Tamandua tetradactyla: one gene and its partner. The main gene of each other region encodes a partner of the protein of the gene in region 2 in a complex. Links are inferred from orthologs where the notes say so. Each region holds a gene or a part of one and is shown on either strand. Other genes may lie near its edges.

Evidence for each region. The genes of interacting proteins can lie anywhere in the genome.
Region 1: CWC27 (region 2) and RBM48 share a complex: the UniProt entries of both Homo sapiens proteins name them as parts of the minor spliceosome. The link is inferred for Tamandua tetradactyla from reciprocal best matches to the Homo sapiens genes CWC27 and RBM48.

What each region holds. Positions count from the first base shown.
Region 1 is NC_135327.1:123,744,632-123,751,977, forward strand, and holds the start of RBM48 (RNA-binding protein 48), read right to left. Parts: upstream 2,890-7,346; 5' UTR 2,518-2,889; coding exon 2,407-2,517; intron 1,285-2,406; coding exon 1,094-1,284; intron 1-1,093. Other genes in the region: peroxisomal ATPase PEX1, read left to right, coding at 2,890-3,018. UniProt on the Homo sapiens protein: As a component of the minor spliceosome, involved in the splicing of U12-type introns in pre-mRNAs.
Region 2 is NC_135335.1:112,329,042-112,336,807, reverse strand, and holds the start of CWC27 (spliceosome-associated protein CWC27 homolog), read right to left. Parts: upstream 3,013-7,766; 5' UTR 2,573-3,012; coding exon 2,531-2,572; intron 1-2,530. Other genes in the region: protein SREK1IP1, read left to right, coding at 3,167-3,179. UniProt on the Homo sapiens protein: As part of the spliceosome, plays a role in pre-mRNA splicing. Probable inactive PPIase with no peptidyl-prolyl cis-trans isomerase activity. As a component of the minor spliceosome, involved in the splicing of U12-type introns in pre-mRNAs.

The DNA of each region.
Region 1 (7,346 bases), on a different chromosome or scaffold from region 2:
ATTAATAATTAAAATATTATCATTGTAAAACTTGCAATAATTTAAGAAATACTGAATATAAAGCAACCAATCAATGAGAAAACAAGGAGGATGGTATTCATTCAAGAAATATTTATTGAACATCTATATCTGACCAGGCTCTACTACAATAAATAAATACTTCTTCTGTGCCTATGTATAATAAGAAATATTATATTTATCATATGCCATGTCCTAATTGCTTTACATGAATTAACACTTCACACGACCTCATAATGAAACTGAGGCACAGGGAGATTATATAACTTGGCCAAGGTCACACAACTAGTTTTGGTGGAGCTAGAATTCAAATGCAAAAGCTTTAGAAAATATGTTTCCATAACCACTGGGAACTGGAAAGCTGACTGGGGAAGTGAGATTACATATAAGAGCAACACATGACTCCATAAAATCACATGCTTTTGTGCAGACAATGAGTGCTACTGGTAACACAGACAAGAAAATATGAATTGTAATAACCAGACAAAGATGGCTTTTGGAGCAGATTAGTGGCAAAATTAGGAATTAACAAAAAATGGATGAGGCATTTTATACTTTAATCTTATTGAAATGAGGGTTTATATAATATGGCAGGCTGCATAAATGGTGAAAATTCATTTAGGACTATAAAAATAAGAACCTCAAGAGCTAATGTTTATTGCATTCTGAATGGAAAATACTATGTGAAACCCTTACATGGACTACCTCATTTCAATCCTCATACAACCTCAAAAGGAGGTCCTTTTACCAGATGGGTCTTACAGAAGGAGAAAAAAACAACTTTTAAAAGGTTAAATAATTTGCCCAAGGTTATGAAGCTAGAAAGCAGTGGAAATGGAAAACTTACCCCAAACCCAATTTTTCATCTACTACACCTAACAGATAGTTGTTAATTTAAGCATAGGAGTGACATGATGGGAACAGTGTTTTGGTAAGGCTCATCTTTAAAAATGCTGGAGGAAAATAAGAGCCATACAGGGCTATGTTAGATTACTGGGTAATTCAGGAATGCCTGGGACCAGTTTGATAGCAATGGGGATGGAGGAAATGAAACACTATTTAACTTGCATATTACCTTGCACTTTGTAAATTCAGATATTTAATAAGATAAACTTCTGTAAATTCTTCTGCTGGGTATTCATCTAGAGCATTATATTGCTCAATCGCACCATATAAAGCAAATCGTTCAACTAATTCATTCATTGCTCCCACTGCAGGAACTCCTTGTATTATTAAGTACCGAGATTCCAAGTTGATTGTATATACCTAAAAGAAATGCAGTCATTAAATGAATTTCACAAATAAGCCTAGGGTAAATTTACCCTTATTTGTAAGAATAGGCTTTGAAAATAAAACTGTTCAACCCAATTTGCAGACAATACACAAAATTTTAAAAGTTGCCACTCTTTCTGCATAAAGAATAACTAGTTCCACATGGGAAGGCCTCTAATTAAAATATATACCAGACCACCTTCAGTAGACTTTTTCCAGACACTGAATCGTTAAAACGGATCATGTTATTGGGAACATTCACTCAACAAATATTTACTGAGTACTTACTTACCTTGTGCAAAGCAGTTATAAGAATGTAAAATACAAAGAATAAAGCAAAGCCCTTGTGCCAATTTGAAAATATTATGTACCCCAGAAAAGCCATCTTTTAATCCTGATCTAATTTTGTGGGAGCAGGTGTTTCTTTTCATCCCTATTCAGCACTGTAGGTTAGAAACATGATGAGATTATTTCCACGGGGATGTGACACGCCGGATTGTGGGCGTGACCTTTGCGTACATGGAGATGTGACTCCACCCATTCCAGGAGGGTCCTGATAAGATTACTAGAGTTTTTAAAAGGGGGAAACACTTCGGTGAAACGACAGGGCCAACAAAACTTCAGAGTAGAGCTGGCACAGAAACCAAAGTTTGGAAAACAGAGACTCGGATGTCTGGAGAAGCATGGGGCACAGCAGATATGGCCATGAGAGTCAAGCAAAACAGAACCTGGTGAGACTCAAGAGAAGCCAAGAGATGAAAGTCAGCCCTGGAAAAGCAAAGTGAGCAATCCGGATAGGAACAGAGAATAAAAGCAACCGGGCCCAGGAGCTAGGGACCAGCAAATGCCAGCTACGTGACTTCTCAGCCGACAAAGGCGTTCCTGTGAGCCGTGCCATTTCTGGTATATCACTTCCCGCAGCTTGCAAACTAACACAGCCCTGCTCTCACAGACCTGATGCTCGGGAAAATCTGTGGGGCCTGCCTGCCCCTCGGTTCTAACGCCCATATCCTATGAGAGATGAATATGACAATAGCCTTGTCCTTACTTAAAAATCTGGAGTGAATGCTCACTTAAAGCTACCGAGTTTGGCTAATGGAACCCATATCACTTTACCTTGACAGCGCGAGGCCGTCTACCGTCCCGATACTTTGCCCGCGAGTCGCACACCGCTCTCTGCACGTGGTGGTCGAACGAGCCCCCTAGTTCCCCACTACTCAACGCCATCTTGACAGCTTTGGCCCTGGGAGAGAGGACAACATCCGCTTTGCTGCGCTACTGTTTATCCAATGAGAGAGCAGAGGGCTCACGGCGCGCAGAGATTGGCTGGAGAATCGACAGCGTCGGCCATCGTTTCCTGTGAGCTGTGGTTCTGTGAACGAGGTACCGCCCCCAGCGGCGCGGAGGAGAGGCCGGGAAAGTGAGTGAAGGCTTTCTTGCCTCCCCTAAAGGACTCCGGGTCAGACTCGCCGGGAGAAAGGGGGCGGGGCCGCGGGGGCGGGCCGATCGATCTTCTCTGGGTCCGACGCCCTCAGCCTGCCCTGGTCCCAGTCGGCCGCGGCGCAAGGGTGGGTTACTCGGCTTCTGCGCTAGCTCGCGATGTGGGGCAGCTATCGCTTGGCAGGCGCTGGTGGAGGCGGAGCGGCCGTGAAGGTGATCTTCACCAACGCCCGCGACTGTTTCCTCCACCTGCCTCGGTGCCTCGTGGCTCAACTGCACCTCCTGCAGGTAACGCGCCGACCCGGGCAGGAACTTCCTGCCCGGATGCCGGACGGCCGCCTGAGGCCGGACGTGGCCGAGATGTTAGGGATGCGGCGGCAGCTCAGGCCTCTCTCCCCGCGGCTGGTCACTAGCTTACTTCCCGGCGCCGCCGGACCGTACGGAGGCCAAACTGGGGGCCCCTTTAGGGCAGGCCGGCCTGAACAGTCCTTGCATCCCATATCACGTCTAGAGCAGCCCGGGCCGTTAAATTTACGTACCTTATTCCAGGACTTCTCACTTTGGTGAAACTAGGCTTTTAAAAATGCCAAAATTCTACTTTTGCATTCAGAAATAGCCCTCACTTACAGTTTGGACAATCTCCTGAGAAGTCGCTTATTATTTTTAGATGTGTTTTTCCTGTAACCTATTTCCAGGTGCCTGCACCGTTGCCGTCCGGGCCTCAAGAGCAAAGGGCAGACTTGGATGTTAACAGGGACTGAACAGCGCCCACGAGCGGGAGAGGTTAATAAAATGATAGCTCTCTCGGCGCCGCTGGCCTACAGAGCACATATAAGGTGTGCCAGCAACCTACAGTGAATTATGCATATTTCGAAATACATACTTAATACCTTTGCTGTCGGTCGCTTCTTTGGCCTTTGTGCCAGTTGTGTTTCACAGCTTTAAGCACAGGCAGATATACAGCATCCCTATTTTCATAATAAAAATAAAGGCACACGATCTCACAAACATGAGTATACTTACGGGGACAAAAAAATAGAACATTTAAAATCCTCAAACCCAGCTGGATGGATGGTTTCCACAGTGGCTAAGCCATGCAAGAAGTTTTGAAGATTTTGCGGTAATTTCCACTATGTTTTCCAGTTTAGTTCTCTGTAACTGTTCTCCTAGATTGCTTTTTTCCACCTTTCAAAACATATTAAATTCAGAAGAATCCTTCTATTAGTTCTTTTACCATAAAGTAGATAGTCTTTTGGCTCTGATAGGCTTCCTTCAGGGCTGAAGTCATCCTGCCCCAGATAGACCTGTCCAGTACACTTCGTTTAGCTTTGATGAAGAATCTCAGGAAGGCCTGTACAATACTCTCAGCTCTGATGAAGATTTTCAACTGACTTTCAAATCCCTACCTAATGAATTTATAAGAATGCTTCTTTACAGTAATTCTATTAAATTGATCCTAAGATGTGGGTGATACCTTAATCACTATTTAAGAATGTAATAGTCTTGATCTTTGTTTTAAATTGTAAGTCTTCAGAACAGTAAATATCAAGTAAGTAGTCAAAAATTATTTCATGGGTATCTTTTTTTAACATTTTTTATTGTGAAATATAACAAATAGACAAAAAAGCAATAGATGTCAAAGTATAGTTTAACAAACAGTTGTAGAACGAATTTCATAGTATGGTATGGGTTACAGTTCCACAATCTCAGGTATTTCCTTCTAGCTGCTTTAGGACAATGGAGATTAAAAAAGATATAACAATATAATGATTCAGTAGTCATATTCATTTGTTAAATCCTGTCTTCTCTGTTACAACTTCTTTGATCTTTCTCCCAGTCTTTAGGGATATTTGGACAAGGACCGTTTTAACTTCTTCATCTTGAAAAGAGGTGTGTCAGCATTATGGGGCAGGGGGATACAACTGGTTTCTGCTCTTAGACTAGTAACTCTGGGCTTCTGTGCTTATCTGGCCTAGTAATCATCTGGAGGTTTTAGGTTTCTGAAAAACAAACTTAGTGAGGGAAATTTTTATTGCGTCTCAAAGCTAGAGGTACTCTTTGGGGTTTACAGGAATGCTGTTGCTTGGGGTTTAGTACAGTATAGCAATTAGCAGTCTCTCTCTGAAGCTTGCAAAACAGTAACCTTCAGAATAGCCTCTCAACTCTATTTGAAATCTCTTAGCCACTGATACCTTATTTTGTTATATTTCTTTCCTCCCTCTTTGGTCAGGTAGGCACTGTTGATCCCACGGTGCCAGGACCAGGCTCATCCTTGGAGTCATATCCCACATTACCAGCGAGACTCACACCACTGGATGTCATGTCCCACAAAGAAGGGAGGGTAATGATTTTCCTTGCAGAGTTAGGCTTACGGAGAGAGGCCATATCTGAGCAACAAAAGAGGTTCTCTGGAAGCAACCCTTAGGCATAATTATAGGTAGACATAGCTTCTCCGCTACAGACATAAGCTTCACAAGAGCAAGCCTCAAGATCGAGGACTTGGTCTATTGATTTGGGTGTCCCTAATGTTTGACACAGTATCTGGGGTTTACTTGGTGGTAAAGTTTAGTAGTTCTGTATTTTTTCTCCCATCCCTCAAGGAACTTTGCCAATACTTTTAAATTTGTTTTGAAATCTCTCAGCCACTGAACTTTATTTTGTCTCATTTCTCTCTTCCCCCTTCTGTTCAAGAATTGCCAATATGTTTTTGTTTTTTTTTAAACTTTTTTATAGTATAATACAACATATATACAAAGCAAAGAAAGAAAAACCCAATAATTTTCAAAGCACTTTTCAATAAGTAGTTACAGGACAGATCCTGGAGTTTGGCATGGGCTGCTATATCATCGTCTCAGGTTTTTCCTTCTAGCTTCTCCAGGACATTGGAGACTAGAAGGAAATAATTTTTATCACAATCAACTTTTTTGTGTGTGTGAAAAATAACATATATACAAAAAAGCAATAAATTTCAAAGCATAGCGCCACAATTAGTTGTAGAACAGATTTTAGAGTTTGGTATGGGTTACAATTCCACAATTTTAGGTTTTTACTTCTAGCTTCTCTAAAATATTAATATAATGATTCACCAGTCATACTTGTTTGTTAAACCCTTCCTTCTCTGTGTAACTCTACCATCACCTTTGATCTTTCTATCCCTTTCTTTAGGGGTATTTGGGCTATGGCCATTCTAACTTTTTCATTTTGGAAGGGGCTATCAATAATACACAATAGGGAGATGGAACTAGCTGATGTTTTGAAGTCCCTCTAGGTTTCAGGACTTATCTGGTCCAGGTACCCATCTGGAGATTGTAGGTTTCTAGAAAGTTACCCTAGTGCTTGGAATCTTTATAGACTCATATATTGCCCTAAGTATTCTTTAGGATTGACTAGAATGGTTTTGGTTGGGGTTTGGCAAGTTATGAGAGGTAGCAATGTCTAACTGAAGCTTCTGAAGAGTGACCTCCTGAGTAGCATCTCAACTCTATTTGAACTTCAGCCACTGATTCCTTATTTGTTATACTTCTTTTCCCCCTTCTGGTCAGGATGGCATTGTTGATCCCACAGTGCCAGAGCTGGACTCATCCCTGGGAATCATCTCCCCATGTCACCAGGGAGCCTTTCACCCCTGGATGTCATGTCCCACGTGGTGGGGGGGGGGCAATGATTTCGCTTGCAGAGTTGGGCTTAGAGAGAGTGAGGCCATCTCTGAGCAACAAAAGAGGTCCTCCAGAAGCAACTCTTAAGCATACTTGTAGGTAGGCTAAGTTTCTCCACTACATACATAAGCTTCAGAAGAGTAAACCTCAAGATCAAGGGTTTGGTGTATTGATTTGGGTGTCCCTAAAGTTTCACACTGTGTCAGGGATTTCCCTGGTGGCAAAGTTTAATAGTTCCATATTTTTCTCTGGTCCCTTAAGGGACTTTGCCAATACTTTTTGATTATCTGCTTAGTATATTCTAGGATGTATCCAGGCATTACATTAAGCTATACAGGATTAAAGGCCCTCATTCTTATTCTGGGCTCCCTGTGTTTGTTTCAGTTGTTTAAATGAGGTATTCAGACAGAGTGAGTTAGATTATGTGCTACAGAAAATTTAGATTCTGGACAAAATAAGCCTTTCTTCCTTTGGTCTCAAAGAGGTGAGGTTCTAAAATATAGACAATGTCTTCCTTACCCCTGTGTTCTGAGTTACCTTAATCCTGACCTGATCAGCTTCATTCTTTTTTTTTAATTTGTAATGGTGGTTTATTTGCCAGAATTTACATTGTCTATACAATTATGAAGAAGTTTTCTGCATTTGGATAAATGAGTCCCACAGATGAAATCACTGTAGGCAGCCTTGTCATATCTATAGTACTTAATCCAAGATCTCTTGGGAATGTTGAAATAGCAAAATACTTCCACATTGGCTTAGAAAGTGCTTAGTGCTTTCTCAAATGTGGCTGATAACTCAGAAGAATCGAGATTACTGTATCAACTGAAAGATAAGCTGTGGTGAGAGAGTTATCAGGTTAATAAACAAGGTACTCAGATACAGGTCTTGAGATGAAAGGTTAAGAGGTAGGGCTTCAGTAGCAACTTTATTTAATTATCACATACCACTCTTAAAGGAAAC
Region 2 (7,766 bases):
TTACTGAGCAGACTTGTCATTACAGGTGCTTTAAATTCCTGCAAGACCAAAATTCTTGCCACACTCTCTACAGTACACTTTAGTTGCCACACTTCCTACAGTATAGAACTTCAGGGCTTCAATCTCTTCAATAATCCTTATGTTGTTAAAGTTCCCAAATTGTTTTTGGACAAAACTTGGGCCCTGCCTGAGGTTCTCCCTCAGTCCACTACTGTCCAAAAGATTAACATTATTCACCACAGTATGCAATTACGTGTTTATTTGCATGATTATTTGGTCAACACATATGTCACCAAGGTAACTCCATGATGACAGGGACAATGCTGTTTTTTCTTTCTGTTGTATCCCTAAAACCTTGCATAGAGCCTGGTATGTGTTCGGTGCTCAAAAAATATTTGTTGATGAATAAATGGTTTTCTATTTAGGCATGTAACCTTGTTAAGCTTTTCATCTATATGACCATGCTAAGTCTTCCTCAAAAAAGCAAGTCAGCCTGCACTTAACCAGTCACAGTCTACTTAAACCCACCGACGCTTAATACTTCTCAGAAGCTAAGAGAAATAACATTCATTCATTTATGCAATACATATTTGAACTCCTACTATGCATCAAGCACTGTTCTAAGTACAGTGAACAAAGCAAAATCTCTGCTCTCAGAGAACTTGCATTCTCTGAGGGAAGGGGATGCACGATAAACAAGAAAATAAGTACTACAGAAAAATAGGTTCAGGGGGCCAGGGAATGCAGGGATGCAGGGCATGACTACTATATGCTATGTCATAGAAGGTGTCTTTGTCAGGGTTCTGTAGGGAAACAGAACCAAAAGGACGTATCTGTTGAGATATATACTATGAGATTTTTATAAAAATTGTCTTATACAACTGTGGGGATGCATAAGTCCAAATTCCAAAGGGCAGGTCACAAGCCAGGAAATCTGGGGAAGGTTTTTGATGAATTCTCTGGGGGAACCTTGGAATTCTACTCGGCTGGCTGAAGTGGAGATAGAAATTCTTCTGACTGCTGAAGTCATCACGTCATCTTTTAAAGTCTTGAACTGATTGGATGATATATCTCTCAGTGTGAAGGCCATCTCCTCAGTTGACTGTAGATGTCATCAGCCATAGATGCAATCAATTTACTGATGATTTACGTCCACAAAACGGCCTCACAGGAACCATCAGGATGGTGCTTGCTTAACCAAATAGCCGGACACCACCCTCTGGCCAAGCTGACACATGAACCAACCATCACGGAGGGCAAATAGGAAAGGCCTCTTTTTTAGGATGACATTTGAGCAGGCAGAAGAACAAACCAAGGAGAAGAGCAAGTGTGAAGCCTCTGCCTGGCAAGATGGGTAATTTATTCAATCTTCTGCCAGGTTTTATCACCTGGGGGTAATATCATCCCCAAGAAACATTTGGAAAAACGAGGGGATAGTTATTTGGGGTTTTGACAATGACATGGGGGAAAGGGAGAATGCTAATCTGGAGTGCCCAGGAGAAGGTCAAACAACAAAGAATTAATTCTGCCCATAATTCCCCTTAAAATATTTGCCAAGGATATTTCATTACAGAAACTTTTTGTACGTTTACAAATTGCTCTCATTATATTACCAAATGACCATCAATAGAAGATTGCATAAGTAATTTATGATACAGTCATGCAACAGAACTGTACTGTAGGCAAATTTCGTTTACCCTAATCAAACCACATACTTTAAGTCCCACTATTTTCTTCATAATATTTCACATATGATATAGACTAGGTCTCAGTTCAAGAATGCAAATGACACTAATCCCATCGTTAACTTCTCTGCCTCATACTGCATACAAACACCGTGGATGGGAATTGACGTACCTTGACCACCAAATCGATCAGGACCCTAACCTCCCATTCAAATATGGGAACACTCCCCATTCTCCACTTTCTCTGACTGGCAATTATCTCGTGTTTTAATTTCAGCTCCAAGAAGCTTTTCCTAACTTTTCCAGCGGCTCACTCCTCAGTACTGCCATAGAACAATGATTCTGTTTCCACAAGGATGCCTACTAGACGTATATGGAAGCTTTTTCTTTAGGGCTTGTCTTGTAAACTTAACTATGCGCTCTTCCAGGGCAGTAACTAGGCCTACCCATCTCTGCATCCCCAGCGCCTAGCACAGCACCCGTGCACAGCAAGAACTCAACAAATGATTGCAGAACGGATGCGAAAAGGAGAGCTCTCCAAGCCAAGAAAATAATATGTTAAATTTCATATTTTGCTTCTAAAACCCTAAGACCCTCGTAAACGCCTGCACGAGTTGGGTCGGGGGCAGAAGGCCCCGCGGCGAGGGCAATGGAGGAACTCTCCACCCAAGCTCTTGGTTTTCCAATCCATGCTATGAGTGTTCAGTACGGCTTTCGACGCCTCGTCCCGAGACAGGGGGACGACGACACTCCCTGTGGCCTCTTCCATCCCGAACACCTCAGAGCCCTCCTAGTGGGAGAGGGCTCGCTTCCGGGAGCCCAGAGGCCCCAGGTGAGGCGCTCACCTTCCCGTTCGTGGGAGGCTCCTGGATGTAGATGTTGCTCATCCTTGTCGGTGCTCAGGGCTCTACTTCGAAGTCCGCAAAACTCCGGTCAACGAACGCTACCGCGGAGGAGTTCACGCTCCCTGGAGGAGGCGGTCGCGGAGAGCTCCAGTAAGCCGAGGCCCTGAAAGACAGCGACGCCGCGCCCTGGGCCCGCCAACCTAGCCGCTCACGCATGCCGCCATGTTGCTCCCGGACCCGAACACCGCTAACCCCGATAAGGGGGATTCCGATATCCTCCAGGGAAGGAGAAAAGAGTCTTCAGCGTCTATAGCGTAAAGTTATTCGTATTTAAAAAGTTAAAGAACCATCTTGAGTCTTCGTGGTGTTCACTTTCGCCACACACCTGTGTCGGTCACACACACGCACCCCTCAGGAGTTGGCTGTAATGGTTCAGGCCAAATGTTCGCTGCACCGTGACTCGCCCGGAAACCACAGCGGCGACGCCTTGGTTCCGCCGTCGCCAGGGGCTTAGCGGCCCTTCCGGGCCTCTCGCGGAGCTTCGGCGGCGCTGCGGCGAGGGCGAGGCCGCTTCGGCCGGGCGTTGTCCCCGCGCCGGCGGGACGCGCGCACCCTTGACCCCCTGTTGCCAGCACCATGGCAATCCCAGGTGAGGACGGCCTGCCGGGCTCGGACGGGAGCGGGAGCGGGGAGGGGGCGGTTGGGATGGGAGAGGACGATGCCGGGCGCCTTCGGGCGGAGGCGCCGCGCCGCCGCTGGGTTGCGGGGCTCGGGGGCAGCAAGTGCCGGCTCCCAGCCCCACGCTGAGAGCGGGCGGAAGCCGTCTCCCCGCCGCGGACAGGCGTCTTCCCCGCAGAAACGCTGGGGGGGAAAGGAGGAGGAAGGGCAGCCCGTGGAGGCCCGAAGGGGTGGCAGGCCTCGGCCGTCGCTTCGGGGTGGCTTAGAGATGCCATTCGAATGGGCGCGCGTGGCGACCCCGCGGGTCCCGGGCGTGGTGGCGGGCGTGGGGTCGGGCCCTGCGGGCGCCCGGGGCTCCCCCTCCAGCGCTTCCGCTTGCCTGTGGCCGCAGACCGTTCCCTTTGCTCTTCTGGGCCTCGTTGGGTCAGAGGAGGCGCTTGGGTGAATCCTGTCGGTTTCTTCCCCGTGTCAGGTTCTGTGTGTAAAGGGTGCTCATTGCCACCCGTGAACCCTGCAGTCCGAGTGCTTCGGAGCCTTCCCCGCCCACAGCTGCTGTCTGCCTTAGACGTCCAGCGGGGGTGAGCATCTCCTGAGACTGGCCTGTGCCACAGCGTTCAGTGCAGGAGATGTATGCAGAAATACACGCCCTCTGCCCCCCGCTTGGAGGTTAACAATGCACTTGAGCATAGGATTCTGAGAAGTGCTGTGGTTCAGAAGCGTTTGTCCTGTGGCAGCCTTGTCCTGAAGTGTGTTCTGCGGACAGCTGTTACGGTACAGCTGTGCTTTTCTGCTGGCTTGCGGCTTTGAGAGGAACACATACTGAGCTGTGAGAGAGGAAAAATGCACACATTCATACACTGACAGCTTTACTGCCTGTCAGGTGTCAGGCACTGTGGTGGGCATTGGGGATAAAACGGTGTTTTAGTTTGCTAATACTGCCAGAATGCAATACACCAAAAATGGATTGGTTTTTATAAAGGGGATTTATTGAGTTACAAGTTTAGAGGTCTAAGGCCATTAAAAATTTACAAACTAAGGCATCCAAAGAAAGATACCCTGACTCAAGATAGGCCTGGAAGACCTCTGTCAGCTGGGAAAGCATATGCTTGGTGTCTGCTGGTCCTTTGGCTTCTGTTTTCAAACTGCTTCCCTGGGGCGTTTTCTTCCTGCATCTCCAGATGTCTCTGTCTGTGTCGGCTCTAAGCTTTTCCCAAAATGGCTCCCTCTTAAAAGGACCCCAGTAAGCCCAGTAAGACCTACCTTGAGTGGGCAGAGATGCATCTCCTTGGAAACAACTTAATCAAAAAGATCCCACCCAAACAATAGGTCTGCCCCCACAAGATTGAATTAGAAAGAAGAACATGGGTTTCCTGGGGTACAAAACCATTTCAGTGGTAAGCAAGAAAGACATGGACCCTTTTACACAAAACCTACAGTTTAACAGGGAGAGAAAAAATAGTACTAGAAAGTAAGACAAGTACAGAACCTTAGGGAGCATCTAGGAGTTGCACAGATGACTTTCCCAGAGGAGTCCAGAGAGTTGCTGAAGAGGGGGATGGAGGGAAACATGCAATCAAAGGGACTTTATGTAATGGACCAGTGAGAAGAAGGATGAAAGAGGTTCACTGGGCGCTATGGATGGAACTCTAAGGACAAATGGGAGAGAAGTGAGAAATGAGCTAGAAAGATAATAACAATAGCTATTATTTGCTGACCATTTACTATGTGTCAGATAGTGTTCCAGACACTGTGTCAAGTGGTTTGTTATTTTTTCTCATTTAACATTCACAACCGCACTATGAGATACATACTGTTATCCCGTTTTTACAGAGGATGAAATTGAGGGACAAAGAAGTCAAGTGATTTGCCTGTTGTGAGACAGCTGGATGGAGCTAGATCAGATTGGCTTCTTTAGACCCCATGCTCTTATCCATTTGCCATGCTATATTAACTTAAAAGGTGACTTCCAGCTCTTGAACAAATTTGTAAGCCATGACAAGGAGTTTAGACTTTATCCTAAGGGTGTTTGGAGATCATTTATGTGTTTTTAAACAGATTCATGATTTGAAGGGATCATTTTGGCTGCACAATAGAGGGGAGATAGTTTGAGGCATTCACCAGTTAGGAATAATTCTGGTGAATTGCAATGACTCCTCACTGAAGTATGGTGTCAATAGGAGTGGAGAGAAGCAGACAGATTGGAGATACGTTTTTGGAGGCAGCGTCACTAGGAAGTGTGATTTATCTAGAAATCACTGTTAGACATTTGGGCAGGGCCATTTACTGATGTAGGCAACATTGGAGAAGGAGCAGGTTTTAAGGGGGAGGATTATAACTTCAGTTTGGGGCGTGTTGATAATGGGAGTATCCAGCAGTCATTTAGTGATATAAATTTTAGGTTAGCAAAGAAGCTGAGGTAAGAGGCAATGATTTTGGTGTCATTCAGTGCCACCCAAATGTCTGTATTAAATAGGTGTTAAGGCCATGAGAGTAGAAGTCTGCTCAGGAGAAATGTGTAGAGTGTGAAAGGTAAGCCTGTGACTGAAGCCTGGGGAAGATCACTATTTAAGAGACCAGGAGAGAAAGAAAGGCTGCACAGCTGATTGCTCAGACATCTTCATAAGCCACATCAGCCCTGTTGATCCATGGGAAGACAGTTGTTAAAGATTGACACAGTTATATCTAAAGTTGGCTGATGTCACCACTGATTTCACTAGTTGAGCTGCATGCTGTTGGCACTCAGAAAGATACAATGTTACAGTCTGTGGCCACAGTTGTATCTAAAGTTGGCCTGATGTCACCATTGATTTCATGAACTGAACTACATGCTATTGGCACTCAGAAAGACACAATGTTACAGTATGTGGCCTCATAAAAATTAAGTCTAGTAATGAAAATGCACTGGTTAAGACAGGGGACAAAAGTGATTTTTTTTCAACACCCTTATTGAAATCCCTTACACTTAGACCAAGGTTATAGACCTGTTAACCTTCTTCTCAATTTAAAATAATGCTTCCAAGTGTAATAATCTTAAATTGTGCCATTAAGCTAGATGGCAAGACATAAACTGTTTAAACCCAGCAAAAATTGAGATAATGCGCGTGACAGCATTGTAAAAGTACAATGGAAGTGCCATTTGAAAATACAGGTATAGAAAAAATTAAGATAATTTCTTGCATGATCGATCCATATAGTGTATTAAAGGAAAATAGGGGTCTATCAGAAACCTTCTGAAGTGATCATTGAGAACATATATTATTTTATTTTTAGTTATAATGCTGGTATAGATTTAGCATGGTATTTCTCAGGATGCTCCGGCTAGTGATTATTACAAGCACTGACTGTCAAATAATGAGGCTACTTTTCACAAACCACACATCAAAATCGGTGTCCTTGGTTTTATGCTCACCTGATTCAGCCTATTTTTCCATAGCATTATATATAAGCTTACTCAATTTATATGTAGATAAACAAGCCATGTTGAAGTAAGCCTTGAAGCCTCTGGCCAGGGTTGAACTTTTTAGATATCTTAGATTTGGTTCAACGGATTTCAGAAACACTGGCAAGAAATATTTTTAAAGTATGTGGTGGAGGTCGGAGGGCAGGATTTCACACACAAATCTAGACTTTTGCTCACCTTTGAAAAAGTAAAGATTCTGACAATACTATACCCACATTCTGACACTGCAGTAACTGATGAGAGATGACAGGCCCCTTTTGGCTGGACTTGCCATTGTTCAGTTTGCCACAGCACGAACTCGTCTTTGACCTTCCTCACTCATTTGTGTTACCTTGGTAGTGAATTTGTATATAGTAGTTAAATCATGAGCGCTGGAACCAATCTGCCTGCACCACCATTTATATATGGTAATCTTGGGGAGGTTATATAACCTATCTGTGCCTGAATTTCACCATATGTAAAATGGAGATAACAGTCCCTGACTTTAAGATTTATTATTAGAATTAAGTGAATTAGTGCATATGAGGTGTTAAGAGCAGGCCAGGCACTTAGGTAGTGTACGTTGAACTAAGTTGCCGTCATAGCTATCTACCAGACTCCTGAAGGCATTTCAGTTTGCAGCCCCTGTTTTAAAGCAATGCTGGAATTTTTATGTTCTGAATTAGGGAAAGGGGAAAACGTTAAATTCTGCTGTTTCCACTTACAGCAGTTGTTGAAATTATTTATGGCATTCATGTCAATGATTTGCCATTTTCCACAAAGAGCCTATACCACAAAAAGACCTGGCACAATTGGCAATGTTCTACTGATGTGATTTGCACATAAAGACAATTTTTTTCTCTCCAGTGAAATCTGTGGAGTAAGAAAGTGAATGTTCTATAGCCAAATTAACATTTTAGTTTAGCATGTCAAAGTCAATCAAATTCTTACAACACATGACGATAACATCTTAGTAATATAAAAATTCTGAATTACACTAATCTAATTTCTTTTCACTCCTTTAAACTGTATTATAGGTCATTTCTTTTCTCTTATAGTCCATCTGCTTATTCCTATTGAAATAATTTTCCTAAATCATATAACTGACCCTTTCATTCC